Callithrix jacchus: one gene and its partners. The protein of the gene in region 7 interacts with the protein of the main gene of each other region in a pairwise test. Links are inferred from orthologs where the notes say so. Each region holds a gene or a part of one and is shown on either strand. Other genes may lie near its edges.

Region 1 (4,193 bases), on a different chromosome or scaffold from region 7:
TGCCCCATTGCCCTGAGCTGGGCTCTTACCTGGGCCCTGCCTTTCCAGGGGACAGCGAGCCCCTCAGTGAGGCAGCTCGGGCACGCACCCGAGAGCTGGGCCGTGAGAACCGGCGGCTGCAGGATTTGGCCACCCAGCTGCAGGAGAAGCATCACCGCATCTCATTGGAGGTGAGGAGTCAGGGGCTTTGGGGGTGGGATTAGAATGAGACAGGAATTGGGTTAGATGGGCACTCAAGGACCTCAGGAACCAAGTCCCCCATTCAAGCATCTGCTTCCTCATTGTTCCCAGTACTCTGAGCTTCAGGATAAAGTTACATCGGCAGAGACCAAGGTGTTGGAGATGGAGACGACAGTGGAGGACTTGCAGTGGGACATCGAGAAGCTGCGGAAGCGAGAGCAAAAGCTCAATAAGCACCTGGCTGAGGCTTTAGAGCAGGTGGGGCTGAGGTGCTGGGGCAGGTGAGACAGGGCTGGGTGCTGGGGTCCTAGCTCCTCCCCTCCACATTCATTGCCTGTCTTCTCTCCCCAGCTTAACTCTGGCTATTATGTGTCTGGGAGCTCCTCAGGCTTCCAGGGGGGGCAGATCACACTCAGCATGCAGAAGGTGAGTGACATCTTCCCAGCCCCTCCCATGATCTCTTCTCTGTTGCACCCTTGAAATTCCCCTCAGGACGAAGGACAAACATCCACCGCTGAGGCCCTTCCTGGTCACTCCTGCTGCTCTTTTTTTCATGCATTCATATACTTGTTGAGTAAATTTTTGAACACTTTGTGTTAGTCAGTAGGCATATTGGCAAGAACAAAATAGAGGTCAAAACTTTCATGGACCAGACAGGAAATAAATAAAAGAACATGTATTTAGATTCTACTTGTGGTAGCAGATAAGAAATCAGTGAAATAATGTATCAGTTTGTTATGAGTACCACAAAGGTAAAGTACAGAAGAGAGAGATGGAAGTGAGTTGGAGTCAGTTGGCATCCGGTGGTCACTGTGCCCTTTTTCCCTTTACTGTCACTTTAGGGCTTCTTGAAATGCTTCCCTGACTCCCTATCAGTTAAGAGCCTTAGTTCCCAGCTCTGACCATGCAGTATTGAATTTTCTCCAATTTGTCTGGGAGCCCTTAGGAAAGTCCTTGGTTTGGGGCATCAGAATCAATCACTGCCCTGCACAGGGGCAGTTGGGGTAGAGTGTATGGTGGGGATATAAGGGAGGCCTACTGCCACACCTGGCCCCACCTCCCTGCCTCCCACTCTGTAGTTTGAGATGCTGAATGCAGAGTTGGAGGAAAACCAAGAATTGGCCAACAGCCGCATGGCAGAGCTGGAGAAACTGCAGGCCGAACTTCAGGGGGCTGTGCGGACCAATGAGCGCCTCAAGGTGGGCTGCCATAGGGGCTGAGAAGGTCTGTGCCTGGAAGGGAGGGGCTGAGCCCTGAATCTTACTGATCCCATTTGGGCATCCCTACCCCTAGGTGGCTCTGCGGAGCCTTCCTGAGGAGGTGGTGCGGGAGACGACAGAGTACCGTGTCCTGCAGTCCCAGTTTTCACTGCTGTACAACGAATCTCTGCAAGTGAAGACCCAGTTGGACGAGGCTCGGGGCCTGCTGCTGGCTACCAAGAACTCCCACCTGCGACACATCGAGCACATGGAGGTATGGCCCTGGAACAGGCATAGGGGCTGGGCTAAGGGCCAGACCCTTAGTGTTGAGGTGTTCCTGGCTTCAGAGGCCCTGTGTGCCTGCCAGCGGTTCCTGGAGAATAGATTTCTTCCTAAACCACTGAGTCCTGAGGTGGGACCAAGGGTCTTTGTGGGTCCTTAACACATCAACCCACAGAGCGACGAGCTGGGGCTGCAGAAGAAGCTGCGCACAGAGGTCATCCAGCTGGAGGACACACTGGCCCAGGTACGCAAGGAGTATGAGATGCTGCGCATCGAGTTTGAGCAGAATCTGGCGGCCAACGAGCAGGCGGGTATGTGGTGAGGATAGGGCAGAGGTGGGGCTTTATCTGGGAGTGCTAGTCCCTGATGTGGGGCTGCTTATCCACTTGCAAGAGGCTAAGCCCCTTTCTTTCACAGAACTTCAGCTTCCTATGCAAAAGAGGGCCTGCACTGCTTGGCTCCCAGGCACAGTGAGGGTCACACCAAATGGGATGGCTGATGGAGCAGGCACATGCAGACTTTGAGCTGTCAACCTTGTCCACAGTCCTCTGGTCTGATGGTGTCTTTCTCTCTCTCAGATACTTGTGTTAAAAGATTTATCAAATGTCACCTAGGAGCCAGGCTCTCCTCTAGGGTTTGGGGTTATGCCAGTGAACAAAACAAGGAATTCCTGCCATGTGGAGCAATATTCTAATAGGAGAAGACAGACTAGAGGAAGACAGACTAGTAGAAGAATAATGGAAAATGTGTTAGCAACTGACAAATAAACTAAGGAAAGTAAAGCAGAAAAGGAAGATGGGAAGTATTAGGAGAAAGGTGTTGCAATTTTGGATGGGAGGCCAGGGAAATATAACAGGGATGGTGATGTTTTTTTTTTTTTTGAGACGGAGTTTCGCTCTTCTTACCCAGGCTGGAGTGCAATGGCGCAATCTCGGCTCACTGCAACCTCCGCCTCCTGGGTTTAGGCAATTCTACTGCCTCAGCCTCCAGAGATAGCTGGGATTACAGGCACGTGCCACCATGCCCAGCTAATTTTTTGTATTTTTAGTAGAGACAGGGTTTCACCATGTTGAACAGGATGGTCTTGATCTCTTGACCTCGTGAGCCACCGCGCCCAGCCAAGGTGATGTTTAAGAATCTAGAAGTTGATTAACTTCTGTGAATGTTACACCTTTCTATTAAAGGAAATTGGATATATTAAAAAACAAACCAAAACCTAGGCCTGGCATGGTGGCTCATGCCTGTAATCCCAGCACTTTGGGAGGCCAAGGTAGGAGGATTACTTGGGGCCAGGAATTCAAGACCAGCCTGGGTAACAAAGTGAGACACTGTTTCTATTTTAAAAAAAACAAAACAAAAACAAATGCTCTACGTTAGCAAAAGTCATATGAATAGGCAGTGTCCAGTTACCTTTGGGTGAATTTCCTTGAAGTCACCATTTTTTACTTTCATGAGGTCATGCTCAGTCAGGGCCATAATGTTCTCTCCTGCACAGTGGAAGTGGATGGCACAGCCTCTTCCCCCACTGAGGGGTTGGAGCCCTAACCCAGGAACTGGTTCTGACACCCTTCCTGATGCTCCCCCAGGGCCCATCAACCGTGAGATGCGCCATCTGATTAGTAGTCTTCAAAACCACAACCACCAGCTAAAAGGGGATGCCCAGCGATACAAGCGGAAACTTCGAGAAGTACAAGCTGAGATTGGCAAGGTGAGGAGGGGCTGCCTGGGAAAAGCTTTGGCTAGATTCCATTGAACACTATCATTTCATGCCTCTTCCTCTCTGCCTTTGCAGCTCCGGGCCCAGCCCAGTGGCTCTACCCACTCCACCCCCAATGTGGGCCACTCAGAGGACTCTGGCCTCAATGCCCCAGCCCCAGGGAAAGAGGAGGGTGGGCCAGGCCCTGTCAGTATCCCTGACAACAGAAAGGAGATGGCTCCGATGCCTGGTACCACCACTACTGCCTCCTCAGTGAAGAAGGAGGAGCTGGTCCCCTCTGAAGAGGATGTCCAGGCCTTAACCCCTGGGGCCCAGGGTCCTTCCTTCCGGGGCAGAGAACCTGAGGCCAGGCCGAAGCGGGAGCTTCGGGAACGGGAGGGTCCCAGCCTGGGACCTCTACCTGTAGCTTCAGCTCTCTCAAGGGCCGAACGGGAGAAGGCCAAGGTGGAAGAGGCCAAGCGGAAGGAATCAGAACTCCTCAAGGGTCTCCGAGCGGAGCTCAAGTGAGCCTCTGTTCCTGTCTTCTTCCTGACCCTGCTAGGTGGCCCCCAGTCCCACTCACCAAGACTTCCTCCTGTACCTTCTTGCCAGGAAGGCCCAGGAGAGCCAGAAGGAGATGAAATTGCTGCTGGACATGTACAAGTCTGCGCCCAAGGAGCAGCGGGATAAGGTGCAGCTCATGGCAGCGGAACGCAAGGCCAAGGCTGAGGTGAGGGCAGCTGGGGCTTGTGGGGCATTCAAAGAGGCCAGAACGGAGTCCTAGGTCAGCAGGAAGAGGTGCCAAGAGAGCTTCTTTTCCCCTGTGTTGTAGGTGG
Region 2 (4,193 bases), on a different chromosome or scaffold from region 7:
TTTTTCTGTAAGTTTACAAGTATATTTTGGTTTATCTGTTAAAAGTCCACCTCTCTATTTTGTCTATACTAGGGGTAAATTCCTTCCTCGTGTACATGGCTTTCAAAGATCGCTTCCAGCTAACGGATTGCCAGGTAAGAAAGTTGGCTTTTTGGAAGAGGCCCTGTGGCTGGGGAAAACAGTCTCCAGCGTATGCATGTCTCCGAGCTTCCCGGGAAGTGGCTGGTGGTTGCTGTTGCTGATGTAATTGAACCTTGAAAGAGAGTATGAACCCAGTGCCCTGGCCTCCAGCCACTCCACCACCTTGGATCTGAGGCTCTGCCTAGCATGGCGTGTCTGGGAGGGGCACTCAGAACCTCCTCAGCAAACCTGGTGCAGAGCCAGGTGTCACTCAAGAGCTGCTTACTCCTGGTCCACGTCCTGCTACGTCGTGCTGCCTCTGTTAATTTCTGACGGGTCTCCATCAAATGTGGCCAGAAACATTGCCCTTGGGCATGTCAAAAAAACCAGGCTAATAGAAGCAGCCTGCGCGTCCTATTTCTCATCCCAGAAATGCTGCCGGCAGGGAGATGATTGTCATTGTGAACAGGAAGATGGAAGTCCCCTGTCTCTGACCCCATCCTTCTCTCTTTCAGATTTATGAAGTATTGAGTGTGATCCGGGACATTGGCGCCATAGCCCAAGTCCACGCAGAAAATGGCGACATCATTGCAGAGGTACCGGGCTTTCTTTTTCATCATTTCTTCATCACCTGGAGGGCAAGAGCCAGGCTCAAGAGAGGGAGGCGACATCTGTAGCTTAACACCAAGGTGGAAAAGCAGAGGGACCCAGTGTTCCCTGCGGGAGCTCTGCTCAGTCTCACCCATGGCGTGAATGCCCGTGACACACGTGTCTCTCCGTTTTCGCTCAGTCTCACCCATGGCGTGAATGCCCGTGACACACGTGTCTCTCCGTTTTCGCTCAGTCTCACCCATGGCGTGAATGCCCGTGACACACGTGTCTCTCTGTTTTCCCACAGAACACCTAGTCAGTTACCATTGCAGAGAGAGACCATTTCTCTTGGCGCTGTAACACAGCTGCCTTGGGTGGGGTGCGGGAACCCTGATGTCACACACAGACATTTTATACTGTGGCTGAGGGCCACAGATGTACCAGCTGTCAGCATCCCAGGGAACAGCTGAGTGGTTTTGGGAGGCTGTAATTGATCCATCCTGCTCAGGCGGGACTGGGAACAGGGCAGCAAACCCTTCTCTTCCTGAGGTCTTGGGATGAGGGCACAACAGTCGGCAGTGACAGTTTTCCATCTTACCCGGATAACTGCATGCTGGGTTTCTGCCATCAGAGCTGTGTGAAGTCTGCTCTCCCTCACAGCCTGGCTTTCTCTAAACATTGCAGGAGCAGCAGAGGATCCTGGATCTGGGCATCACGGGCCCCGAGGGACATGTGCTGAGCCGGCCCGAGGAGGTGAATGTCTGCCAGGCAGAATGCGCAGAGCCACAGGGAACCCGTGTTGAGAAGGGGGCATCTCTGATGCTGACTTTGGTCTTTCTGAGAAGCTGTGGGTCACGTGTGTGTGTGTGTGTGTGTGTGTCAGTCTACATAGGCAAAGTGAAATGTTAGGCTGCTCCTGAGGGTAAGGTGGTGTGACCTGTCTGGCCAGAAGAGTCTTCTTTCTGTATGTTACTCTCCAAGCCCTTGCCTATGTAGACACAGACAGTTCTTCACTGGCATCCTGCAGTCTCGATTTTAGTGTTTCACAACTTACGGTCTCTAAGGTCTTCCCAAAGTTCACCGAAACCTAGTTGGAAGGATTGAAAAGCTAATCTAAATGTCTAGAAGGCATATGGGGAATTGTAAATTTTTCCAAGGTAACCCTGCACAGGATATCACATGATACGCAGAGTTTGGCCGACAGAATCTTTTGAAATTGTAGGGGAAAAATTCATAGCAGGGGCCTGTGCTGGTCCAAAGGTGGAGAATCACCGTCCTGGTGAGGGGTGTGAGTTTGAAGGGAGGGTGCGCACGTCTTAGGTGATGGAGAACCTGTGTTCCTCCGTTAGAATTTGTGGCTGTGAAATACTTTTCAGAAGCTGGCTCCTTAATGACAGGCCGGATGTCAGGCTCTAGGGGCCCTGATTAGGGAGCAGCCTGCAGCTTGCAGGGAAGAATGTGATGGGGGAATCTCTAGGGAACCACCAGGGTTTCCCCTTCATGAGAGGAAGTGGTAGAAAAGGGACTGGTGCAGAGCAGGGGTGTCAGATCACCAAGGGCTTGAGTGGCGGCTGACAGTGAGGAGGCTCCAGAAGCCCATGAGGGAGGAGCTTGGCAAGAGCTCCCTGCAGGGCTGTGGCCACCGAGTCGCTGAGTGTCAGCATTATGCTGCTACTAAATTTGGGATGTATTCTTGTTGGTACCAGGTTGGGAGGGGAGCTGCTCCCGGTGATGAGGAAGTGGATTCAGGAGGGATTGGGAGCGAAGGAGCCATTTGTGTACTGCCTGGGTATATGAGGGGGCTGTTGGGAACCATTCAGAATTGAGAAGAAGGGATGAGGCTGGAAGAGGAGGAAGGAGGCAAGACAGGCAGAAAGAGGAGAGCGGGAGCCATCGGAATGCTTTGCACACAGCAAGGTCCATGCTTTGTTCTGCCCTTGTTGCTGCATGCATATGCGCTCTAGACATACATGTACCCACAGACATAGGCACACACACACACACACACACACACTCATACACTGTAGACATACAGAAAGACATTTAGACACACACACAGGCAGATATACAGACATGCATGCTCCAAGACACCTTCAGTACCATTTGAGGCCCCGAAGAGACGTATTCCTCTCCCCAGGCGACAGCACAGAAGCCATGACATTTTCAGGATTGTATGTTGCTGCTCCAGGCCAGGGATGCAGGCCATTTTGTAGCCATCAACCTTGTCATGTGCACTAAAAGCTGAAAGGGTGGCCTCATCCTTCAGGATCAGGGAGGCAGGCAGGCCCCTGTGTCAGCTGAGGAAAGCCCTGTGCTGAGATGGTGACTGGTGGACAGTGACTCCAGGGGACAGCCTGCAGGTGAGAGCAAGCTAAGACCAGCTGACGATAAACATGCCTGAGGCTGATTTTATGCACCTTTGTGTGCATACAGATGCACGTGCACAAGCACACGCATGCACCCACATTCACACACATACGTGCATAGGCACAGACATGCACATAAACACACATATACATATTTTCACACACAGGTGCAAAGCACACGTGTATACACATTTTACGTTACACATACACTTGTGCAAGGACAGACAAGGTATGCACACATACACACATTCTTACACACACGTGCACATATGTGCTTGCTCACACCTGTGCAGGCACCATCCCACTTTTGCAGACACCTCAAAGGTTCCCTTCTGTGGCTTCACTTCTCCCTCCAGGCTGGCTTCGGGGACTGCCTTCACTAGATCCCCCAGGATTCACCTGTTGGGTGGTTTAAACCATGGTCACGTAAACCGTGGTCGCCCTCAGCCCTGACCTCCCTGGAAGTGATCCTTTGTTCAGCCCTGAAACATTCTTGGGATCAGGCCTTGGAAATGCATAGAGTCTGGGAGAGGTGGAGGGCTGATTGGGTTCTCATGTGGGCCCTGTTCAAAGCTGCCTTCACTTAGTGCTCACGCGCCCTGGACGCTGTGTTCCTGGCTCACATTTTACCTTTGTAACTTTCCTGTGCGGGAGGTACAACAGCATCTTCTTTGCACAATTCCAGGGGGTGCTATTCATGCAGGCTGCATGGCTGTATCCAGGGAGCACCATTTACATTCTACCCCCATGTGTGGTGGGACCAGAGTTGTGCTGCCGTGGGCTCCTTGGTTATCTCTTTCTTTACATGAGGACACTTCGAAAGCATGACTGCCCTGTTATCAAAGCAAAGAGTGAGCAAGTGCAGGGTCCCGCCTGCTACCCAACCCCTCCCGCACTGCACACACATGCAGCTTTAAGCCACACCTGGGCCTGCGCTTCATTAGAAAGTTTCCTCCTGTTTGGTGACTGGGAGCCAGTCCCTCCGCCTGCCATGTACCAGCTGTACAGGTGGTGAGAAGACATCCTCTGAGAAGAGCAAATGCCAGAGGAGGCTCCTGCTCTGAGACCCTCCTCTTGTCTAAGTTTTAGAGCCTTCCAAGGGGCTCGCATTCCTTC
Region 3 (4,193 bases), on a different chromosome or scaffold from region 7:
CCAAGGGGAGATACAGGCAAGGAACACTGGAAGAGAGACAAATTTTGACATGTGTAAATGAGTGTTACATTTCTAAGACACACTGTTCATGATATTTTCTAACTAGCAATATTAAAAGGTGATTTTTTTTCTCTGAAGAGAGTTTTTTTGGTTTTTATCCTAAAAAGAGCAATAAAAGAAAAAAAAAATCAGTAAGTTCTGCAAAAATTAACACTCATCTCTCCCTTTCTGACCCAAGGTGCAACAATGTAAAGTATCATAAATAAGTTATCAGTTTGAAAAATATTTCAATTTAGATGTCTATATCCTTCTGTAGTTAATGCCTATGATTTCAGACTTACTTTAAAAACCTGAGCATGTCACTTTGATTTTAAAGCATAGAAAATTTAACAAAAATAAATTAGATGCCAGTTAAAATCAATATTTTTTCTCCTCCAAATTTTCAGTCCACAGTCCCCTATCTGAAACCCTTGGGTCTAGCGATGTTTCAGCATTCTGATTTTAGAAAGGTAATATAGAACATATGCCATATGTAGTCAGTACTCATTCCCAATAGCAGTAGTTGTGTTCTATGAAGTCACCCAAAACACTGAAATAGGAAATACAAAATTTTTGGCCCAGGGAAAATATACACATACAACAAATTCACACACACACACACACAGAGTATAATCCTAAATCCTAGAACAATTCATTCTGGTAGATTTTGTATTTTTTTTATTTCATATGAGAGACATGAGGTTCAGAAGTGGTAACTCTCCTGAGGCCGCCCCACTAACTGGTGCCGAAGTTGGGATTCAGACTCCATCCAACTGGCACAGAGCTGAGCTTCTTTCCCTATACTGCACTGCCCCTGCCGTCTCTAGCTTCTGGTCACCTCCACGTAAGTAGGGACAAGAAGGCAGAGTGTTGCCTACTTTGATCTTGGCTGACATTGTGCAAACTGGTCACTCAAAATTTTTGCCACTCTGCGTATGTCCACGAATGACTTTGGGAGTTATAGAGTTTAGGGAGTATACAAATTCACAAATACAAAATCTATGAATAATGAGGATCAACTGTATTACCCCAGTGGAGTCTAAGGGAACTTTCCATAACCAAACACACACATTTCTGAAGCAAAACACATGGATACTCACACTAAGTAGAATAGGGAAAGTCTATACATATTAACACATCAGTTCAGGCCAGGGAAAGTTTTAATGCCAAACAATTTTTGCTGCTAAACTTAAGAAGAAAGTGAAGTGAGGACTTACTCTAAGAAATAAAAGAAAACCTTTCCATGGACTTGGTGGCACATAGTAAGTCAAAAATACTGCCTTTTCATGGCAATATGGCCACAGCTGGTGACAGGAAATGACGGGCCCATAGCAAGTACTCTGGCACAGAAGGCAAAAAGATGGCACAGCCTGCACGGCAATGAAAGGAGCAAGGAACTGGCATGGCATGGTGTCCTAGGCACAGACACTCAAGCCATGCTCTGCACACATCAGAGGCACAGCCTTCTTCCACCTCTGTGCCTCCTTTCTCCTTTCCAGCAGTTCCTCTTTTCCTCCTTTACTGCCTGTGCCTCAGGACTATCTTGGCATCCAAAGACATTTCTTAAACTAACCATTCCAGCAAAAAATTGAGCATCTCTGAAAAGGACAGGAAGGGAATTTCCAATTACGGTTAAGGACAAATTAACACCTTTAATTTATGTTTCAGAACTAGGATATATTTTGAAAAAAGTTGTCTTGGCTGAATGTATCTTTATAAGCAAAAACTGTATGACAGGGATACCTGAGAAGAGTATCTATGATAAATGAATCAATAAGAAAACAAAAGAATCACCCTCTTCACCCTTAAAAAATAAAATCAAACTAAAAACAATAACAAATTAAGAAGATCAGAAAGTTTCCATACCGAAGACATAAACTCTTCTTGGTCATTCATACTCTCAGACACAGTGTCAGAAAAACTGGCTTCATTTGTATCTAGCGCTGAAGGCAAAGAGTGAGTTTTACACAGAGAGTAGGAAGTCAAAGACCTGGTGGAGCTGCAAGGGCTGACTTGAGGACTCAGGGGGCTTAGCACCCTGGACATGGGGTCTATACTATCCGACGCTCGTCCTCTTGGAGAATGAAGACCTGTTTTATAGTGCTCAATCTTTATTCCATCATGTCTGTGCTGGCCATGGGTTGGCCTGGATGATAGATTAGAAAACAAAACAAATAGAAAATTGTAGTAACTTTTCTCTTTCCAACAAAAATGTAGGAACTTTGCTTAAGCAAATAGCCTAACTAATAAGGCTAGAATTTACAAAATTAGCCACCTACTCAGATCAGATGTACTTTCATTCATTCAGGCCCCAAAGATCCAATCCCCACTACCAGGTACCTGCCCCCTCAAATACCTATGATATAGCCAAGAAAGATAATCTGCCAGAGTAATCTAGTGTGGTTAGTGCTAAGACAGAAGTACTGGGCACATAAGAAGGCACCTTACCTCACTAGCAGGTTGGGGTAAGTACAGGAATGGAAGTGAGGGTGACAGCAAATGCTCTGGGTAGGAAAACATGTAAGCCTTATAGTATAAGCTGAAGCCAGGTGGTTTTTCACTGAATGCTTACTGCTTACGGTAACAGCCTATAACAAATTGACTAAAATCACAAAGGAAGCTGTTTATAAAAAGCCAAATTCTACTTCTTATGGGGCAAATGGGGTTGAAAAGGTGGGAGGGAGCATGAAAAGCCTCATGTAATACACATGTTGTTTATACTGACAACCAGAGTGTACAAAACTAAAGCTTTAATGAAAATGCTATATACCTCCCCCTGATTAATTTAACATGATCATAGCTTTACTTGTGCACACTATACTTCAGAATTAAACATGGAGCCCTTTGATGAAGATTTAATTTCCGTAAGTCAGAAATTATTTTCAAAGAAATGAGAATTATATTGTACCAATACACATTTTAAATAAACTTTTAAGAAATTTTACTTAATCTCTGTATTCTTGAACTCAGTTGTTCTGCTGTGTGTTGGTTTAAAGATCCCGTCATTTTGTTTTTTGCATATCTGAGTAGAAATATCCAGCTGAGATTTGGTATTCATCAAATCTTTCTGTAGTTGTTGATTTTCAGACACTAATTTATTTAATGCCTCAATATAATTATCCTGGAGGTCGGCTAGTGAAATCTCTTTTGCCTAATAAAAAAGAATACTAGAATCACTTAATCTGTACAAGAATACTTATGATCTGTGATATTGCTGGTTGGAAAATTCAGTATTTTTTAGTTGTAATTATTTAATCTATGGCTTTAATTTAGAAAAAGTGAAGCTTTCTTTTTAGTCCTCGAAAGACTAACAGAGAAAAAGAATTCTTCAAGTAAATGGTAGTGGAACTCTAGAAGCACAATGGGCTTCCTTATGTGCCAAGGAATTCTAAGGAGGTGGAGGAAAGATGGAACTAGGATGAAGGAAAGCTATAAGAGGGAATCAGAAACAGGGAAAAAGAAGAAAAATGGCAGCCATGTTTCTTCTGCAAGAACATTAAGGTTGAATAACCCCAGAATACCAAGGGAAGAAAACAGAGACCTAGTTCAAGGAAAAAAATTTGAACAAAAAGTTCTGAGAAAAATATCTGGCTGGCAGACACAACTTTTAAATAAATAATTTCTAATCTTAAACACTTTTCTACAACACTGGCATCTACTCATATATAAATTTGGACATGATAAAGCAGGATTCAAGTATACAGTGGGAATTACTATTCTGATCTGGTATCAGAAATTTTATTGTTCTTCAATTCTAGGTGTTTCCTGGTAAGACACTACTTGAAAAAATGGCAGTCTGGGTGATTATTTTTTTCTAATGACAAAATAATTAGTATTCTGCAAAGTTATGGTAATCTTCTTTGGAGTTTAATACCATAGTTGGCTTGCTCTTTTCTGTAAAAAAAATCTGAAAGTAAGCTGGTCAAGAGTGGTCTGACAAACATAATATTCCTAACAAAAACATAAACTTTAGAATATACCTGTGAACTATCTGTGTACAAGTAGTGACTACAAGCTATGAAATCTTTCAACAAGCTGCCAATGTCAGGTAAAATATCAGGAAAGAACATTTGCAGGACAGATGAGTTATGATGAAACTATTATCAGTTTTCAAAACATGGTAAATCATTTATTTTATCAGAGCTGTTGCTTTC
Region 4 (4,647 bases), on a different chromosome or scaffold from region 7:
TGTAAATAATTAAGGCTGGTCCTTACCACAGCCCACCCAAGCCTTTAAAACGCACCTGGGCTTTCTCCTGGTACAAAGACTTGAGATTCCTTCCCATAGTAGCTTTGTGGCTGGTCAGGTCTTTCAGCCTCGCTTTCTGAGCTATGAAATTGGGGTATTAATAATGGTTACTCCCAACCAGTGGTAGTCAACAAAAATATGCATAAGTGAGCAGCAAATGGAAACCATGTATGTAATTTTGCGTTTTCTAATTTCAAAACAAGTAATTTAACACAACGTATCCAAAACACTATTATTTTGATTGGCCATCAATATTTAAGAATCAGTAATGAAGGCCAGGTGCAATGGCTCACGCCTGTAATCCCAGCACTTTGGGAGGCGAAGCCAGGTGGATCATGAGGTCAGGAGTTTGAGACCAGTGTGACCAACATAGTGAAAGTCTCTACTAAAAATACAAAAATTAGCCAGGTGTGGTGGCATGCGCCTGTAGGTCCTAGGTACTTGGGAGGCTGAAGGGGGAGAATCTCTTGAACCCGGGAGGCGGAGGTTAAAGTGAGCCGACCAAGCCATTATACTCCAGGCTGGGTGACAGAGTGAGACTCCGTCTCCAAAAACAAATAAATAAAGAAATATTTCACATTATTTTAACTTACTGAGCCCATAACATCCAGTGTGTACTTCACACTGAACAGCATATTTCGTTCAGACAACCTACGTTGCAATGCTCAGCAGCCACGGGTGCCTAAGGTCTACCAAACTGGATAGCCCAGCTCTGAAAGCTTCTGTGAGGATCAGGTGACCTAAGGGGTGTAAGGGGGCAGGGCCATAGGCTAACACATCAACGTGGCAGATATATTCCTCCTGTCTCTCCTCTCTGACGCACACACAGAATTTTCCACATTTAAAAGGCCTTTACAAGGGCGCAGGAGCCCAGGACATGTGACAAATCCAGTCCTTTTCTGGCCCCCGCCCCGCCCCCCACAAAGCCATCTTTCTTCCCTGTAGGGGCGAAAGGCCACCCACCCCGCCATCCTGGCATTCCTTTCAAGCAGCTGCCAGTCGGCTCCCCCGAGCTCTCCACTCCGCTCCACGCTGTCCCCGCCACCCAGCACCGGCGTCCCAGCTGGGATGGAGCGGGAGCAGAGTCCAAGCTCCTGCCTAGGATGCGGGAAACCTTTCCACCCGCTGGAGACTCCTCTGTAAATGGGTCTTCAATTCCCAGCTCCCCACTTCAAATGGTACTCAACGCCTCTTCCCGGCCCTGGGGGCTAGGACCCTGTTCCGAGGCAGCCTCTCCAGTCTCTAGCCCCTCTTCTAGGGTCCAGAGTAGGCGGGGTGGGGTGGGGATTGCGGCGTGAGCTAACCCAGAGCCAGGGGGAGGCCGGCGCCCGCAGATCGAGCAGGGGGCTGCGGCTGGGCCTGAGGTCCGGGCATCACACTGGCCGCCAGACAGCAAGGCCGGGCGCCCACTCGGGACCCAGCGGCAGGCGCAACCGGTCGAGCGCCCCCGCATCTCGCACCGCGCCCTGGCTCCCCCTCGCGGTGCCGCAGTCCCAGCCGCGCCTCTCGCGCGGGCGCAGCTCCGCCCATCATGACGTCGCAGGGTAGGGCAGGTCCCCGGTTATAAAAGGTGGAGCTGGGGGGCGGCGGCAGGTCTCTGCGCAGCCGAGCCCGCCGGTCCACGCCGCGCACCGCTCCGAGGGCCAGCGCCACCCGCTCCGCAGCCGGCACCATGCGCGAGATCGTGCACATCCAGGCGGGCCAGTGCGGCAACCAGATCGGCGCCAAGGTGGGCGCGCCGCCGCGGAGGGGCCCGGGCTGGTGACGGAGGGTGCGGGCTGGGGCCGGGGTCGGGGCAGGGGCGGGTGTGGGAAGCCTCGGTGGCTCGGGGCTGGCCGTGTGGTACACTCCGCGGAGAGGCGGGCGGGCAAGGCGGGGGAGGCTGCACAACCCGCCAGGATGCCCGCGGCCCCCGTAGCCGTGTGAGTCTTTAGTCGGCGCCGTTTCGATTTCCCTGGGACACAGCCCTTCTGCGGGACGCAGTTGGCATTCCGCTGGGTGTATTAGTCTCAGAAACTTGGGGCGAGGATATGGTCATATTTATTCCGCTAGCTTCATGAGATATTTAATTTGTACATTTTTCTCAACGGTTTGAATGAAAACATGCAGTGTCACTGGACTGACAGGTGTAACAGAGGCTTCCCTTTGGGTCACACAGGCGAGGGTGTTAGATAAATTCCCTTGTTCCCTATTTCCGGCACTGTCTAGACATGAAGTCTTATAACGCCATAGTCTTGCTGCCAGTCCCTGAGGTGGCAGGTGACTGTGCTGGGTGGGGGCTGCAATTACCGACCGCTGTGTGGGAGGCAGCAGCCGGCTTGCTGCATGGGTGGGGGTGGTGCCTGTACAAGGACGTGGTCTCTTTGAGAACCGCCATGTTGCCCACCCAGCCTCCCCGCCCCCTCCCTGTCTTAAATTCACAATGGAGCCAGCGCCCTCACCATGGCCAGCTCCTTCCACTGCCACCCAGGCGTCCTCCCAGGTTCCTGCTGCCCTTCCCTGCCCAGTCTCTCTTGTGGTCAGTGCCAGCATGTAGATCGGTGGCTTAAACCTGCACTGTTGCAGGGGTGCCTGGGATCTATGCCAAGAGAGCTTGATTCCTGGAGGCTGCCACAGTGTGGGCTCCCCTGTCCTCAGTCCTGCCACGACCCATCAATCATCCCCGATGCAATGGCATTCAGCCCTGCCTGGGGTGACAGAGCCTCCCTGTACCACTTTCCCACCTCTCTACCCTCCTGACCCTCTCTCTAGAAGGGCATTTGCTGTGCCCCCTCCTCCTCCAGGGCCCCTCCCAGCCTTTCAGTCTATCGCCATAATATGGCCGATGCTCTGCGGATTTTCAAGCCCCTCAGCAGTGGCTGCTGCAGGAAATAGGGGGTGCAGCTCTTTGCTCTCTGTCTAGCACTTACCGTCTGACCACAAAAGCCCCTGTTCCAAGGACATGGGAGGAGGACAAGGCCATCCTTAGTGACATTCAGGACGCTGGGCCATGGTCTGGATCTTTTTTCATTTCAGTTTTGGGAGGTCATCAGCGATGAGCATGGGATCGACCCCACAGGCAGTTACCATGGAGACAGTGACTTGCAGCTGGAGAGAATCAACGTGTACTACAATGAGGCTGCTGGTGAGTAGCGGGATGTGTTAGCAAGAACATTCCTTCTTCCTAACAGGAATCCTTGCTTCCCATGCTGTGGGAGATGAACCGTCCTAGGAACATGCACGTGACAAAGGCATGCTTCTTGCATATTCATTTCAAATGCCAACTGCTGGAAAAACACACGTAATGGTTCCCTAAGAATCCTGCCTGTTCGCCACGGCTAAGCACACTCAAGACCTCCTTTTTCTTAAAAGCAGAGAACCTCCTGTTCTCCTTTTGTCTCAGATGCTGGAGCTGTCTTTAATGAATGTTGCTGTGAGTCCCCCCCAAGTACAGGTCTGAGTCAGTTCTCGTTCCCTGCAGGTAACAAATATGTACCTCGGGCCATCCTGGTGGATCTGGAGCCTGGCACCATGGACTCCGTCAGGTCTGGACCCTTTGGCCAGATCTTCAGGCCAGACAACTTCGTGTTCGGTATGTAGTCACCATCAGTGGGAACTGGCCAAATGCCACACCTTCTTCCTCACAGCCCTGCAAAGCACAGTTCTTAGTGTTCACTGCCAAGGTGACACTGTGTCCACGGGCAGCCCTGAGTCCTGGCCTAGTTCCACCCAGTCCACGGGTGGTCATGGCTCAGAGATCCACACCAGCCTGCAGAGGGCTGCTGCAGCCCTCCCATTACAGAGCAGCCTCAGACTGGAAGAAAGAGCAAGGAAAAGCTTCAGGCCAGGTTTCATAGGCTACAGGCAACTTGAAAGGACTTCAAAGAGCCAGGGGCCAAAAGTACAGGTTATGACTAGAGCTTAGACTGATGCTAAAGCCACCTTCTCTCCTGGTCACCTTGAATATAAAGAGAATGCCTGTTTAAAATGTATGTTTCAGAACTGTGGCCAGGCAAGGTGGCTCACACTTGTAATCCCAGCACTTTGGTGGGAGGCCGAGGCAGGCATATCAGGTCAGGAGTTCAAGACCAGCCTGGCCAACATGGTGAAACCCTGTCTTTACTGGAGATACAAAAAAATTAGCCAGGCGTGGTAGTGTGCACCTGTAATCTCAGCTACTCAAGAGAATGAGGCAGGAGAACTCCTTGAACCTGGGAGGTGGAGGTTGCAGTCAGCTGATGTGCCATTGCACTCCAGCCTGGGAAACAGGGTGAGGCTCCATCTCAAAAAAAAAAAAAAAGTAGGTATTTCAGAACCAACTAAGTTTTCTAACCCTATCCTCTTCCTCAGTCAATAGCCTCAGATGAGCTAAACTTGCTTTTTACTTTATTATGAGCCCATGTTTTTGAGGCTCACTGACAAAAATATTTCTTTAGGTAATAGAAGAGTATTCAAAAGAGAAGAATCTGCCAGTGTAAGATCAGTCCTACACTCTCCTCCATAGTCAAAATGACAGATTTTGAAATTCCTTATGTCTGAGTGTCTAATAGTCACTTTCCCTCTGGCAGGCCAGAGTGGAGCCGGGAATAACTGGGCCAAGGGCCACTA
Region 5 (4,193 bases), on a different chromosome or scaffold from region 7:
AGAAGATTGTGCACTAACTAATATGAGCCCTGGAAGACCAAGATCTGTCCCTGCTTTATACTTTGGATCATTTATTTCTAAAGATCACAACTTTCAAAGTTTTATTATTTCTTAGGTCTTCATGGAAGTTCGGGAAAATTAACTGGATCTACTTCTAGTCTAAATAAGCTCAGTGTTCAGAGTTCAGGGAATCGCAGGTCTCAGTCATCTTCCCTGCTGGATATGGGAAACATGTCTGCCTCCGATCTCGATGTTGCTGACAGGACCAAATTTGACAAGGTAAACTAAAATAACAAGTACTTCTTAAACACTAACATTCGTTTTCTTTTCTAACAGCAGTGTGTGGTTGCTTTAAGTGTGTTCAAAGATTTGGATTCTTCTGGCTCTCTTAAGCATTAACCATATCTTACTTCCCAATGGAATTGAATCTGGAAAAAAAAACTAGTCAAAGGGCAAGCAAAATGTGAATTATCAATGAAATAACATAAAAAATGTATTAAAATTTGTGATAAATCATAAAATGCTTGCATCTCAAATCTAAGTTGTTCTGAGCACCTAGAAAGTAAAGAGGAAATAAAGCTTTTGTGATTCTAACCTTTCTCTGTACTGCATTAAATATGTTTTTTTGTTTTTGTTTTTGAGATGGAGTCTTGCTCTGCCACCCAGGCTGGAATGCAGTGGCACAGTCTGGCCTCACTGCAACCTCCACCTCCCAGGTTCAATCAATTCTCTTGCTTCAGCCTCCCGAGTAGCTGGGATTACAGTCGCCCGCCACCATACCTGGCTAATTTTTGTATTTTTAGTAGAGACAGGGTTTCACCATGTTGGCCAGGCTGGTTTTAAACTCCTGAGCTCAAGTGATCCTACTGCTTCGGCCTCCCAGTGTGCTGGGATTACAGGTGTTAGCCATCATGCTTGGCCATAAATGGTTTTAAAAGTTGATCTTTGTGTTCCTCTTTCTAGATTTGAAGTGAATAACTGAGTTTTATTTTAGGTATGTTTTGTGGTCTTGTTACACCTTGTTAATACCATTGTCCTGTTGATCTTGGAAGAGTTAGTCTTTGGGATTCCATTCAGATTATAAATTTATAGATAGAGATTAATGAGATTATGGATCCATGGTCCATGCAGGAAAGAGAATTAAACGTGGAGTGTTATTTTAAGCATTTGGTGCTTAAAAGTTCTTTCATTATAGGATGACTTTGGTTTTCTTCAGATCTTTGAACAGGTGCTAAGTGAACTGGAGCCCCTATGTCTGGCAGAACAGGACTTCATAAGTAAATTTTTCAAACTGCAGCAACATCAAAGTATGCCTGGAACTATGGTATGGCTCACAATGTATTTTGGCTAGTATTTATGATCTGTAACATAATTAGCTTAATTAACATGTGGTCATAATTTTATTATGAGAAGAGAAAAGGAAAGAATTTATGATGTAAGAATTTATGCAGTAAGGATTTAGGATATAAGGAATTTTTGTCATACCACAAGATAATAAAAACAGTGACAATTGAAGTTTGGGCATCTAATTTAATATTTCAGAATATGGATAAGCCTAAATATTCTCTAAATTAGTTGGGGAGAGGAATGTCTGAGTTTAGTTTGTGAAGAACATTATTTAAAAAGCTATTTTAACATTTTAGTAGTCATCAAGACAAAGATAAGTTTTAAAAATGATGTTTGAATGTATACATTATGGTATAGCAAATGATCATAATGATAAATAAAAGAAAATGAGGCCTTAGATCTGTCTTCCTTTTGGTTTTGTTACTAACTAGCTACGAGATCTTAAGCCAGCAGTTTTCCTCTTCTGTAAAGTGGATATTGTAGTGCCTACTCAGCATGCCTTTCTGGTAGCATACATGTAAGAGAATTAAGAGGAGACAGTTTCTTGAAAATTTTGAAGAACTTAAAAACAGTGCAAATAAAGTGTGTTTTAAATTATCATCTCAAAATTGTATGGTTCAGAAAACCAACATATAACAGCAGTCGTTAAATAAATGAGAAATTAATTATTATAGACAGTTTAGAATGTTCATTGTTATGGTAATAATGGTGGCAAATTTGTTTGTTGGCTTCTATAAAAAATTGTATAGCATTTTTTGTAATACTGAAGTTTTATTTGAATACTTGATGAGATTTCTGTAATTTTTTAAATTCTCTTTTAAAAATTGGGTTTGGACGTTTTCTATTTTTATGGTTATTGTTGTCGAGCTGCCCCCATTCCTGTACCTTGTGTTCAGCTTCCTGCACCTCCCTACTTCCCCTCAGGTGCACACATACAAATACAGCTTCTCACCCCACACAAATTCTTGGATAAAATTTAAGAACAGAGTAGCTCATGAACAGTCTTAATATACTAAATTATATAGCTACCTTTATCAGTAATGCTACCTTTAAAAATCATTATTTTTCATAATGTATTCTTTCCTAGGAATTTTTAAATTGAGCAGGCTTTTGCTCTATAAATACTAGTCAAATTGTTGTCTTTTGTTACGTAAAGTGCCTGAATAATTTTTACAGGCTGAAGCAGAGGACCTGGATGGAGGAACATTATCACGGCAACATAATTGTGGCACACCACTGCCAGTTTCATCTGAGTATGTCTTTGTTACTATCTATTGTTTATTTTGAAAAAAAAAAAAAACAACAACAACAAACTTTAAAACATGGATTGCTACTCATTGAGGGGTCCAGATATTTCTCAGCAGCCTGACAGCGCTCACAGCACTAGCATATATGTCCATTGTCTTAGCAAACGTTTTACTGATTTAAAATTGGTCCTATTTTATGGCTCTTCAACTCTTCCTTGCTCCAGGACTCACAAAAGATGAAGTCAGTCTGTTGTTTGCTGGTAGGAGGAAGCGTTTGAATTGCAGTGTATTTCTTAGAAATCATAAAGCACATTTCATAACCCACTTTTACAAATTAAAGCTAATTCAAATGATAAAACCCAACTCCAATAAAATATTTTTATGTCAAAAACTACTATAATCATATTTAGACATTTTTATTTGGTTTTTTTTTGTCACTGTTGTTGTTGTTATTGTTATTTTTTGAGGTGGAGTCTCCCTCTGCTGCCCAGGCTGGAATGCAGTGGTGCCATCTCAGGTCACTGCAACTTCCACCTCCCAGGTTCAAGCGTCTCCTGACTCAGCCTCCCAAGTAGCTGGGATTGCAGACATGCACCACCATGTCTGGCTAATTTTTGTATTTTTGGTGGAGACAGGGTTTCACCATGTTGGCCAAGCTGGTCTCGAACTCCTGACCTCAGGTGATCTGCCTGCCTTGGCCTCCCAAAGTGCTGGGATTATAGGCATGAGCTACCATTCCCAGCTATTTAGACATTTTTAACTGAAATTTAATCTTTTTGTATATACTCAGTGGATTAAAGTTAAAAGTGAATTCACCTGAAGCTTGCTGTAACTTTATACATCTTGTCTGTTTTCTGAACAGGAAAGATATGATCCGCCAAATGATGATTAAAATATTTCGCTGCATTGAGCCAGAGCTGAACAACCTAATTGCATTAGGAGACAAAATTGATAGCTTTAACTCTCTTTATATGCTAGTCAAAATGAGTCATCATGTGTGGACTGCACAAAATGTGGACCCTGCTTCTTTTCTAAGTACTACATTGGGAAATGTTTTGGTGACTGTCAAAAGGAACTTTGACAAATGCATTGTAAGTTTTCTTTTTTAAAAAAATACCTTACCATCCTACTGATTGCAAAATATAGATATATGTATTTAAATTGAGGGATTGCTAGCTTTCTGTTGGGGGAATCTATTGTTTATGTCCCTCAAAGCAGGGCATGGCAAAACCATCTATATGAACAGAGTTAGTTGGGTGACACTATGCCAGCTAGTTTCTCTTCCACACTGAATCTTGGAGCAAGTTCTGGAGTAGATGGCACAGTGGCAGCAGCTGTTCATGAGATCCACTGGAGGCTGGGCACAGTGGCTCATGCCTGTAATGCCAGCACTTTGGGAGGCCAAGGCAGGCAGATCACCTGAGGTCAGGAGTTCAAGACCAGACTGGCCAACATGGTGAAACCCTGTCTCTACTAAAAATACAAAAATTAGCCTGGCATGGTGGCTCATGCCTGCAATCTCAGCTACTCAGGAAACTGAGGCAGGAGAATAATGAAACTGTGAGGCAGACCTTGCAGTGAGCCTCGATCGCACCATTG
Region 6 (4,193 bases), on a different chromosome or scaffold from region 7:
ATCTTTGTTTTCTCCTTATATTTTTAGAGGTCTTGGATGGTGGTTTTATTTTTAAATAGAAACCTAAAAGTAAAACTAAAGTGAAATGACCTTTAGTTAAAGATATTTATCCACAAAAGATGTGCTTATTATGTTGAATACAGATATATTTGTGATGTTAAAAGTTAAGAACAGTAGGAGCAAGGAACATGACTGACATCATTGCAGCTCCTTCAGCAAAACTCAAATTTAGAATATTGTGACATGAAACCCCGAGACTGAGTGTACTGTTCCCTCTTCTACTTCCAACATCATGTTTTCATGGTGCTCTCCAAGCCTGAGATTCATTTTTCAAAGTAAGCCTTCAAGGTACATTGCCCACAAACCTAATATCTTCATGAAGTCCCTAAATAAAGATGTAATTATTCTTTTAAGGAAACTGTCATGGGAAGAAAAAATCTTCAATTCCAGAATAATATCATCCCTGAATTAAAGATTTTAAAACTTCTGGAGGCAATACCAATCCACTTGCATCACCAGGCCAGAGTGAAAGGGCTGAAAGTTCTCCTCCCCAAGAGAAAGCTCCTTGGGTTGACTCAGTGTTCAGGACCAAGTGCTGCCGTGTAGGCTTACTTAGTTTATTTCCAACTGCGTCAGATTTTCATATTGACCATGTGATCGATATAGGAGATTGCTTTTACTGAAAGCGAGAGGAAAGCTCTGTCACCACAGTGGTCCTACAGATTTTAAGGTGCCGTACGTGGTTCACAATGTAATTTTCTCACTGCAATTCTTGCAGTCTGATAATGAATGAAGTCCTACAAATGCACAATGGCTAGTGAATAATCAACACCAGAAGAAGCTGGAGAGAGGCACACACTGACTAGGGCGCTAGAATATGAACAGCTGAATACCCTGAACAATCCATGATCATTTTACAGCTCAAGCACAGGGTTGTTAGCATTGTTTAGTCCTGCATATTTATCTGCGCTTCTTAATCTTCTTGCTTATTGATTAGTATGGCATGGGGAGCAGCACCAAAGCCTCCTTCACCCCCTTTGTGGACCCCAGAGTATACCAGACGTCTCCCACTGATGAAGATGAAGAGGATGAGGAATCATCAGCTGCAGGTAAGCAAGAAGGGCCCAGTGTTTTAAAAACAGCTTCGTCTTCCTTCTGTTACAGCCTGATAAGAAAATTAATCCTCAGTTCAGTAGTTAAGCCAATTACTCCTTATGTCCTGTCTTAAAAGGAAGATTTGTTAAAATTATTATTTCTTGTTAAAATTTTTGTTAAAATTATTATTATTTAGGTATCTTAAAACAAACTTACTTATTTCCATTTTTTTTTTTCCATCTCTTCTGTTTTGTTTCTGGTAGACCCAGGGGTATATAGAGACCCTAGGAAAGCTGTTCCTCAGTGATCTCTGAACATAACCAAATATTTCCCCAAAACAATTTCTGAGTACAATGCTTTGCACACAGTAGGCCCTTAATAAGTGCATGGTGCATTGTGTTGAGTTCTAGGTGTGTGCTTCCCACTACAAAAATCTGGCTAATTTAGAGGAGGGTCTTGCTTTCTAATGTTCTTCAAGTAATTAATCATCAAAGCAGCTTAGGATAGTTTTGCAATTGATACTCTGGAATTTCAAAAAGTAGATCTTTTTTGCTTATATTACAGGAGTGGGGATGGTGTATTTCATTTGGGGAGATTAATATCAACTTTCTAAGCTGTCCAAGTAGTGTCTATAAGCCTGTTTTGCTAATTAATGAAACACTGCTTTGATGAATGACTTATATTTTATTCACTTTTTTAAAAGTGTAAAATAAGAAGAGTTTCAGTGTTTCTTTGCCTTTACTATAATTCAAACCAACAAGGAGAAATCATAGTGTTTTGAAGTCTCATCTCCACATCTTCATAGGTTATCTTTAAGATGCCACTGACTTCTCTGATTCTTTTTCTCAAAGCTCTGTTTACTAGTGAACTTCTTAGGCAAGAACAGGCCAAACTCAATGAAGCAAGAAAGATTTCAGTGGTAAACGTAAACCCAACCAACATTCGGCCTCACAGCGACACACCAGAAATCAGAAAATACAAGAAACGATTCAACTCAGAAATACTTTGTGCAGCTCTGTGGGGTATGTCAGTGCCTTTTTTTTTTTTTAATAACCTCTTACTAATGAACTGACCCCCAAACAGGAAAAGCCCGTGGATCTTGTCATCAAAAGAACACTGGTTGAATGGTGGGTATCAGATACCTAGCTTGGGATTATCTTGACTTCAGGAGAGACCAAAAGCCATTTTATATGTAGAAATAGCTGACACCCTACTAGCCGGGATGATGCGATTAGATTCAAACAACCTTGCCGCAAAATAGTGATGGGCTAAAGCCAACAAGAGAACTAGCTACCACCTGATACACTGAATGTGCAAGGCAAGGTCTGTAATCTGATCAATCAGAGGTGAGCTGTGTCCGGCACTTCGTGATATACCCCACGCTCATTCTCCATGATCCATACAGCCTGCGAGGGGAATAAGCACATAAATCATGGCATAACCCTTCATTTCAAGCTGAAAAACCAGCCCAGAGGATTTTAGTGAATTATCCAAGGTCATACCACTAGCAGTAACAAGATAAAACTTGAAGAGAACAACAAATAATATGATGAACTTTGCCTTTTAGTTTAAAACATCAGTCTGCATTTCTTGTGAAAAATATCTGCAGGTTTTAGCTGACCTCAGACCCAGGATAGGCATGATGAAATTCTGTCAAAGTCTTGGTCTATGTTACTATGAACATCTTATACAGATTAAGGAAGGGCATGTTCCCTATGTACCCATTGAAAACAGTAGGCTTGGAATTGGGGAACTGTACTTTTCAAGGGCTGAAAGCATTTGAGATGTTAGTAGGAAAGAGTGTGAAGCCTAGAACTATTTCATGATAGATGCTCTGTCCTCTGGAGAAGGGACAGAAGAGAACAAGATAGCCACATTTAATTTAAAAGGATTAATATGTGGACAAAAAAGCAGATATTTGTGTTGATCAGAAGATAGAAGTACAATAAGTAAGATAAGTTGGAGAGTTACATGTTCATGAATGTAGTACACTGCACAATGAGCGTCTCAATGTGTGTGTGTAGAGGGGTGGACGATAAATTTCCCTAGCAATGCATTTTTAGGATTACAACGACCCAGACAAAACCACTTACCTGCCTGTGCTTCTGGAATAGGGATTCCTGCATGGGTGTTGGGCTGCACTAGATTTAGAGAACTGAGAAGTCCCTTAAATGAGTATGTTTGTGACTCTCCAGCTATTGACACTTCTCTTGAATGAATTTATAATTTCTCCAAAAAAGAGCAGAAACTTGAGGGTAAGGGGCATAAGGTAGTTAGATTTTGGTTCAAGGAGGAGGAAGGGCCTTTCTTCCAATGGAGTATGGAAATGAAATTTCCATTGTACACTGAAGGCGGGCAGGCTAGAAATCACTGCACGGGGGTGGGGTGAACCTTGGGGAAGAAGAGAAGTAGATTTATAGGGAGAGCCAAGAAAGAAGTGGTTGTTCCAGGAAAGGAATAAAGGAAGATTATGCTAGCTTCATATCTGTGCCCAAGGCCCCTGTTGACAAGGACTCTCTGCATTAGGTAGTAAATAGGACATGTGAATGAAGCTACAACTTTACAAAAGGAAATTGTGATTTCATTACCAGAAGTACAATGCTTTAATTATTACGTCAGAGCTTCTACTTCTACACTTATTAGTTTATATTTACCTGCTTGCTCATTAGTTTATATTTACAAGTCACAGTTTCTTAGATTTTTATAGGGACTCTTGATGCCGAAGATTAAAGTTTGTGAAAAGTCAGTCTTACGGTGCTTCTTAAATTTACAGGTGTAAACCTTCTGGTGGGGACTGAAAATGGCCTGATGCTTTTGGATCGAAGTGGGCAAGGCAAAGTCTATAATCTGATCAACCGGAGGCGATTTCAGCAGATGGATGTGCTAGAGGGACTGAATGTCCTTGTGACAATTTCAGGTATGTTACTAAAATGATGAGTCCCCCACGTCCAAACAGGTGGGAAAGGTGACCACCCCTTTTCTGCAGAAACAGTTAGCTCTGCCCTTCCCAGCTAACAAGCAACACACTGAAGTATAGCAGTATAGCCAGAGTAAGGTTGCCCACATTTTGTAACACTGAAGACTGTGACCTCCAAAAA
Region 7 (4,735 bases):
GCAATCCTTCCACCTAAGCCTGCCGAGTAGCTGAAACGATGGGAGTGCACTACCTACCATGCTGGGCAAAACACGAATTTTAGGCACAACTGTATGCTTTCACTCATAAGATCGTCAGCTTTTGAAGGACCTCAGCCTTCCTCTAGTTGTAACTCCTCTCGTTCTGAGGAGAGCCTTCCCTTTCCTGTAGAACGTCTCCCCAATCCTTCTTCACAACCCTCCCTCCTATCCCTGAGCCACCTGCAAGAAGGTTTGTGCCAAGCCTCTGGTACATGGCACATTCTAGCTCCTGATGTGATTTGGTTTCATATGCCCGTGCTCTCCTTCTGGCCTGGAGGGGAGCTGCTTAAGGACACAGAGCCCACGTGTAGCCCTTCCTTGTACCCATTGTCCTATATAGCAGGTGCTACCTAGGGGGTGCTCTAGTAGCTTCCTTGAATGAACCAAAGAGAAGGGTTGAATCAGCGGCCTAGGAGCAAGCTTGCATGGACTCCTGTGTCCTGAAACCAGCCTGTGTCCGGGAACCACTCCAGAGCGGCTGGAAGATGCTAGAAATTGGAATTCCATCTCATTTCTAAACATCTGCTGCCACTCATCTTTTTTCAGGGTCATCGGTCATCCCCACTGTTCCCCCCACCCTCCGCACTTTGTATAATTGAGTCTCTCACATCCCTCCATCTTCTCCATCACTGTGTGGTCACTTCTCAAATCACGCGTCTGGAAGGCGCCCTCCTCTACCCGGTGCTGAAGGCCTCCCGCACTTCCCCTCGTTTCCTCCAGAAATGAGCCACAGTGAAAGCAAACTTCCTGAGGTCCCGAGATCCCGGAAACCGGCTGTGAGGGCCGCTGGCCCGCCCGCTCCAGCTGCGCGTGTGTGCGTGTGTGTGCGTGTGCGCGCGCGTGTGCGTGTGTGTGTGTGTGCGTGTGTGTGCGCGTGTGTGTGAGCGCGCGCGCGCGTGTGTGCGCGTGTGTGTGTGTGCGCGTGCGCGTGTGTGCGTGCGTGTGTGTGTGCGTGCGCGTGTGTGTGCGCGTGCGTGTGTGTGTGCGTGCGTGTGTGTGCGCGCGCGTGTGCGTGTGCGTGTGTGTGCGTGTGCGCGTGCGTGTGTGTGTGCGCGTGTGTGTGTGCGCGCGTGTGTGTGTGCATGTGTGTGTGTGCGCGCGCGTGTGCGTGTGCGTGTGTGTGCGCGTGCGTGTGTGTGTGCGCGTGTGTGTGTGCGCGCGCGTGTGTGTGTGCATGTGTGTGTGCGCGCGCGCGTGTGTGTGCGTGTGTGTGTGCGTGCGCGTGTGTGTGTGCGCGTGCGTGTGTGTGTGCGTGCGTGTGTGTGTGTGTGCGCGCGCGTGTGAGGGGCCAACCCTGGAAAGGAAACCGCGGCCTGGCAAAGGAGAAGAAAGGAGCCGCCCCCTGCGTCGCCAGCCCCCTCCCCACTTCCGTCCTGCGCGCCGCTCCCTTCCCCCGCCTCTGGCCTCGGGGAGCGAGCAGCAGCCGCTCGGGCGGAGCGGGAGGAGCTGGCAGCGGGAGGAGCATGCCAGGCGGGCGTCCTCAGGGCGCCCCGGCCGCCTGTGGCGGCGGCGTGGGCCACTGCGCAGGTAAGGGAGCTGCCACCACGTCCTAGCATGTCCTGGGGGGTCTTGGCAGGGAGGGCGCGCTCTGGCCCCCAGGAAGTCTTGTAGGTCGGGGCGTGCCTCTGTTGACAACCCCTTTCGAGGTGAGGAAACTGAGGCAGGACGCGCGGCGTGCGGGGTTGAGAGAAGAGCCAGTCTTGGGCTGCTAGCCCGGTGCCAGCGCCGAGCCGGGCCAGGTCCCAGACCCAGGACTGTGCAGCTATCCCCTGACCTGCGCCCCCGCTGCGTGTCCTGGTGACCGGGGAGGGTTGCCAGGGCGTGCTTGGGTTTTGGATCCGTCCCGGGACACCTGCGCCGCGCTCACTCTCCTTGCGGTGCTCCCCAGCCTGCGCCCCCACGGGACAGGGGACGTCCCACCCACCTTAATCCCCAAACCCTGGATCTCTGGTTCCACCCCTTCGGGCACCTAGGGGGAGGAGGCTGGGAGAGGGACCAGGAACTGGTGCCTGTGGCTCGGCTACGGGCTGCTCTGAAATCAGTTCCACCGCCCACTTCCTACTAGGCACGCCCACGGCCCAAGCCGGAGACTGCTCGGTTTCCACCGCCGGAGCGCGGGTCTCGCGGTCAGCTCTTAGTGATGCCCACTGAGTGGATGGTTGCTTTTCAACATCACTCTTAAAATATTCGCAAAGGAATGTGAGGTTTTCCAAAGTCAGTGAAATTTGGAGTTAGGGAGTGCTTCCTTGTGTCCTTGCTGGGTGAGGACAGGGCTGGGTCAGTCACTTAAGCCTGAGCCTCAGTCTCCTGAACTGTAAAAGAGAACACTTATAATCTGGCCTCCCTGTGTCGTTAGCTTTGTTGTATGGGAATTCACTTTGCAGTGTTATCATCGTCCAGACAAACTTGAGATGAACAACACTAGGACCACATGAGCTGGGGTTTGGAGACAGTCTGCATGTCAATCCTGGACTTACCGATGCCTCAATTTCCCCGTTATTAAGTGGACACGATCACAGTACCTGCTTCATAGTGTTGTTATGCACTTTAACTGTGACCGTGGACGTGAAGCACCTCACCCAATGCTTGAGATACCCAGCGTGCACTCAAAAAACCTTAGTGGCTGTTTTTACTAAGCAAACTCTAAATAATTGGGAGGAACGTGATAATACCAGTTGGATTTTATTAATGTAGGAATAGCAGGACATTTAAAAATAAATGTAGTTTTTTACACTCGGCATGATACATGAAGTCGTCTGAGGTTCAGTTTTGTGCCACAGAGGAAAAAGAGCCCTGGACAAGAGACATGCAGCTTTTCTGGCTCTTGGAGTTTGAGCCTGCTTTCTCATCTGTTTACATAAAAGATAAAAGAAAAATGGGGGTAGTAATTACTGCCTTTTGTTCTGATCGCATTGTCTGAGGATCAAATGAGGTAAAAGATCTGAAGGCACCTTACGTGCGGAGTGTGAGTCACTAAGCACATATCACACATGATAGTACTAGGAGGGAAGAATAATATCTGCGCATTTTTAGAACTTAAAATGTGCCAGACATTTCATTAGGAATTCCTCTGATGAACTCCTCCCCATATCTGTATGGGACTGGGATGACAGTCCTCATTTCCCTATGACAAAGATAAGGTTCAAGGTCACCCTGCTTGGTTCCCAAGCTCACAGAGCTCTTGAGCATAAAGCCAGGATTAGAACCCTGGTGTGTGCCACTCACAGCTGTGTTCTCGGCCACTGGCCAAACTGAAATTATAGGGTGGAGCCGTGATTCAGAACAGACCTATATTAGATTTTAGGTAACTTTTTGTTTTTCTTTAAGAGATACAGGGTCTTGCTCTGTCACTCAGGATGGAATGCAGTGGCGCAGTCATGGCTCACTGTAGCCTTGAACTTCTGGACTCAAACAATCCTCCTGGCCCAGCTTTCTGAGTAGTTGGGATTACAGGCACATGTCACCATGCCGAGCTAATTATTTTTTTAGAGATGGAGTCTTGCTATGTTGCTCAGGCTGTCTTGAGCTCCTGGCTTCAGTCATTCCTCCCACCTTGGCCTCCCAAAGCACTAGCATTACAAGCATGAGCCACTGGGCCCAGCTTCCATCCTGCATATCTATAGACCCAAAATGTAAGACTGAATTGTTAGTTCTGGCAAAAGAGGCTTTGGGGTAATTCTAATTTCTTTCAGCCTTGTTTTATAAAATATACTTTAAACTACCTTCTTGTATAATGAATGATGACAATTTGCAGAAAAGTTATTAAAACATTGAAGGAACAGAAGGCGAGATCTCATTGCAAATCTCAAAGTGGTATCTGGATTAATGCTTTGTTTTACCATTCATTTGCCAGAACCTTTAGGATGCCACATGAGGTGTTAACAGGGATCCAGACTTTGGGTGTCGTGGTTACCTTGCAGGGCTGGGCCGCAGGACTTTTCTGCAGAAAGCTCATTGCTCACCCAAGATGCCACCAGAGGAAGCAGAAACTTCTGAGAGGAGCATGAATGTTCTTTGTGCTGCAGAAACAATTCCTAGTTTACTTGTTTCCTAAATTAAGTTTATCTTACGGGTTTTTATTTTTCCAGAAGCAATGCTTGCTCATTACAGGAAGCACAGAAAACTGTAAACTAGTAAATGAACATTAAAAACTACTGTAATCTCAGCAAGGTAGACAAATAGCTTGGTGTCTCTGTTCTTGTAACCCCTTTTTCTTTCTTTTTTTTTTTTTGAGATGGAGTTTTGCTCTTGTTGCCCGGGCTGGAGTGCAATGGCGTGATCTTGGCTCACCGCAACCTCTGCCTCCCGGATTCAAGCGATTCTCATGCCTCAGCCTTCCGAGTAGCTGGGATTACAGGCATGTGCCACCATGCCCAGCTAATTTTGTATTTTTAGTAGAGACAGGGATTCCTCTCCATGTTAATCAGGCTGGTCTTGAACTCCCGACCTCAGGTGATCCACCCACCTTGGCCTTCCAAAGTGTTGGGATTATAGGCGTGAGCCACCGTGCCCAGCCTCTTGTAACTCATTTTTCTATGCTGCATGTATCCGTTTGTGTCTTTCAAAAATGGGATGCAAATTATTACTATTTTGGTTAAATGGCAAAAATAGCACTTGCTAATTGCTCAAACATTGTGACATTACTGTAGAAAAAAAGTCAATTTCTCATGTTCAT

Evidence for each region.
Region 1: the proteins of DISC1 (region 7) and RNF40 interact in binary tests that used the Homo sapiens proteins (3 or more experiments, as listed by UniProt). The link is inferred for Callithrix jacchus from reciprocal best matches to the Homo sapiens genes DISC1 and RNF40.
Region 2: the proteins of DISC1 (region 7) and DPYSL2 interact in a two-hybrid assay, tested with the Homo sapiens proteins (2 studies listed by BioGRID and IntAct). The link is inferred for Callithrix jacchus from reciprocal best matches to the Homo sapiens genes DISC1 and DPYSL2.
Region 3: the proteins of DISC1 (region 7) and CEP63 interact in binary tests that used the Homo sapiens proteins (3 or more experiments, as listed by UniProt). The link is inferred for Callithrix jacchus from reciprocal best matches to the Homo sapiens genes DISC1 and CEP63.
Region 4: the proteins of DISC1 (region 7) and TUBB2A interact in a two-hybrid assay, tested with the Homo sapiens proteins (2 studies listed by BioGRID and IntAct). The link is inferred for Callithrix jacchus from reciprocal best matches to the Homo sapiens genes DISC1 and TUBB2A.
Region 5: the proteins of DISC1 (region 7) and EXOC1 interact in a two-hybrid assay, tested with the Homo sapiens proteins (2 studies listed by BioGRID and IntAct). The link is inferred for Callithrix jacchus from reciprocal best matches to the Homo sapiens genes DISC1 and EXOC1.
Region 6: the proteins of DISC1 (region 7) and TNIK interact in binary tests that used the Homo sapiens proteins (3 or more experiments, as listed by UniProt). The link is inferred for Callithrix jacchus from reciprocal best matches to the Homo sapiens genes DISC1 and TNIK.

Annotation. Positions count from the first base shown.
Region 1 is NC_133513.1:30,303,861-30,308,053, forward strand, and holds part of RNF40 (E3 ubiquitin-protein ligase BRE1B), read left to right. Parts: intron 1-48; coding exon 49-170; intron 171-291; coding exon 292-438; intron 439-531; coding exon 532-606; intron 607-1,259; coding exon 1,260-1,379; intron 1,380-1,473; coding exon 1,474-1,653; intron 1,654-1,836; coding exon 1,837-1,972; intron 1,973-3,247; coding exon 3,248-3,369; intron 3,370-3,453; coding exon 3,454-3,881; intron 3,882-3,969; coding exon 3,970-4,087; intron 4,088-4,189; coding exon 4,190-4,193.
Region 2 is NC_133514.1:14,947,095-14,951,287, reverse strand, and holds part of DPYSL2 (dihydropyrimidinase-related protein 2), read left to right. Parts: intron 1-72; coding exon 73-134; intron 135-635; coding exon 636-716; intron 717-1,395; coding exon 1,396-1,464; intron 1,465-4,193.
Region 3 is NC_133518.1:49,614,843-49,619,035, forward strand, and holds part of CEP63 (centrosomal protein of 63 kDa), read right to left. Parts: intron 3,191-4,193; coding exon 2,985-3,190; intron 2,186-2,984; coding exon 1,906-2,185; intron 27-1,905; coding exon 1-26. UniProt on the Homo sapiens protein: Required for normal spindle assembly.
Region 4 is NC_133505.1:27,486,368-27,491,014, forward strand, and holds the start of TUBB2A (tubulin beta-2A chain), read left to right. Parts: upstream 1-1,651; 5' UTR 1,652-1,732; coding exon 1,733-1,789; intron 1,790-3,075; coding exon 3,076-3,184; intron 3,185-3,520; coding exon 3,521-3,631; intron 3,632-4,607; coding exon 4,608-4,647. UniProt on the Homo sapiens protein: Tubulin is the major constituent of microtubules, a cylinder consisting of laterally associated linear protofilaments composed of alpha- and beta-tubulin heterodimers.
Region 5 is NC_133504.1:140,867,333-140,871,525, reverse strand, and holds part of EXOC1 (exocyst complex component 1), read left to right. Parts: intron 1-115; coding exon 116-279; intron 280-1,216; coding exon 1,217-1,324; intron 1,325-2,523; coding exon 2,524-2,600; intron 2,601-3,456; coding exon 3,457-3,685; intron 3,686-4,193.
Region 6 is NC_133518.1:15,981,504-15,985,696, forward strand, and holds part of TNIK (TRAF2 and NCK-interacting protein kinase), read left to right. Parts: intron 1-997; coding exon 998-1,109; intron 1,110-1,946; coding exon 1,947-2,117; intron 2,118-3,868; coding exon 3,869-4,012; intron 4,013-4,193. UniProt on the Homo sapiens protein: Serine/threonine kinase that acts as an essential activator of the Wnt signaling pathway. Recruited to promoters of Wnt target genes and required to activate their expression. May act by phosphorylating TCF4/TCF7L2.
Region 7 is NC_133520.1:53,272,916-53,277,650, reverse strand, and holds the start of DISC1 (disrupted in schizophrenia 1 protein), read left to right. Parts: upstream 1-1,455; 5' UTR 1,456-1,523; coding exon 1,524-1,587; intron 1,588-4,735. UniProt on the Homo sapiens protein: Involved in the regulation of multiple aspects of embryonic and adult neurogenesis. Required for neural progenitor proliferation in the ventrical/subventrical zone during embryonic brain development and in the adult dentate gyrus of the hippocampus.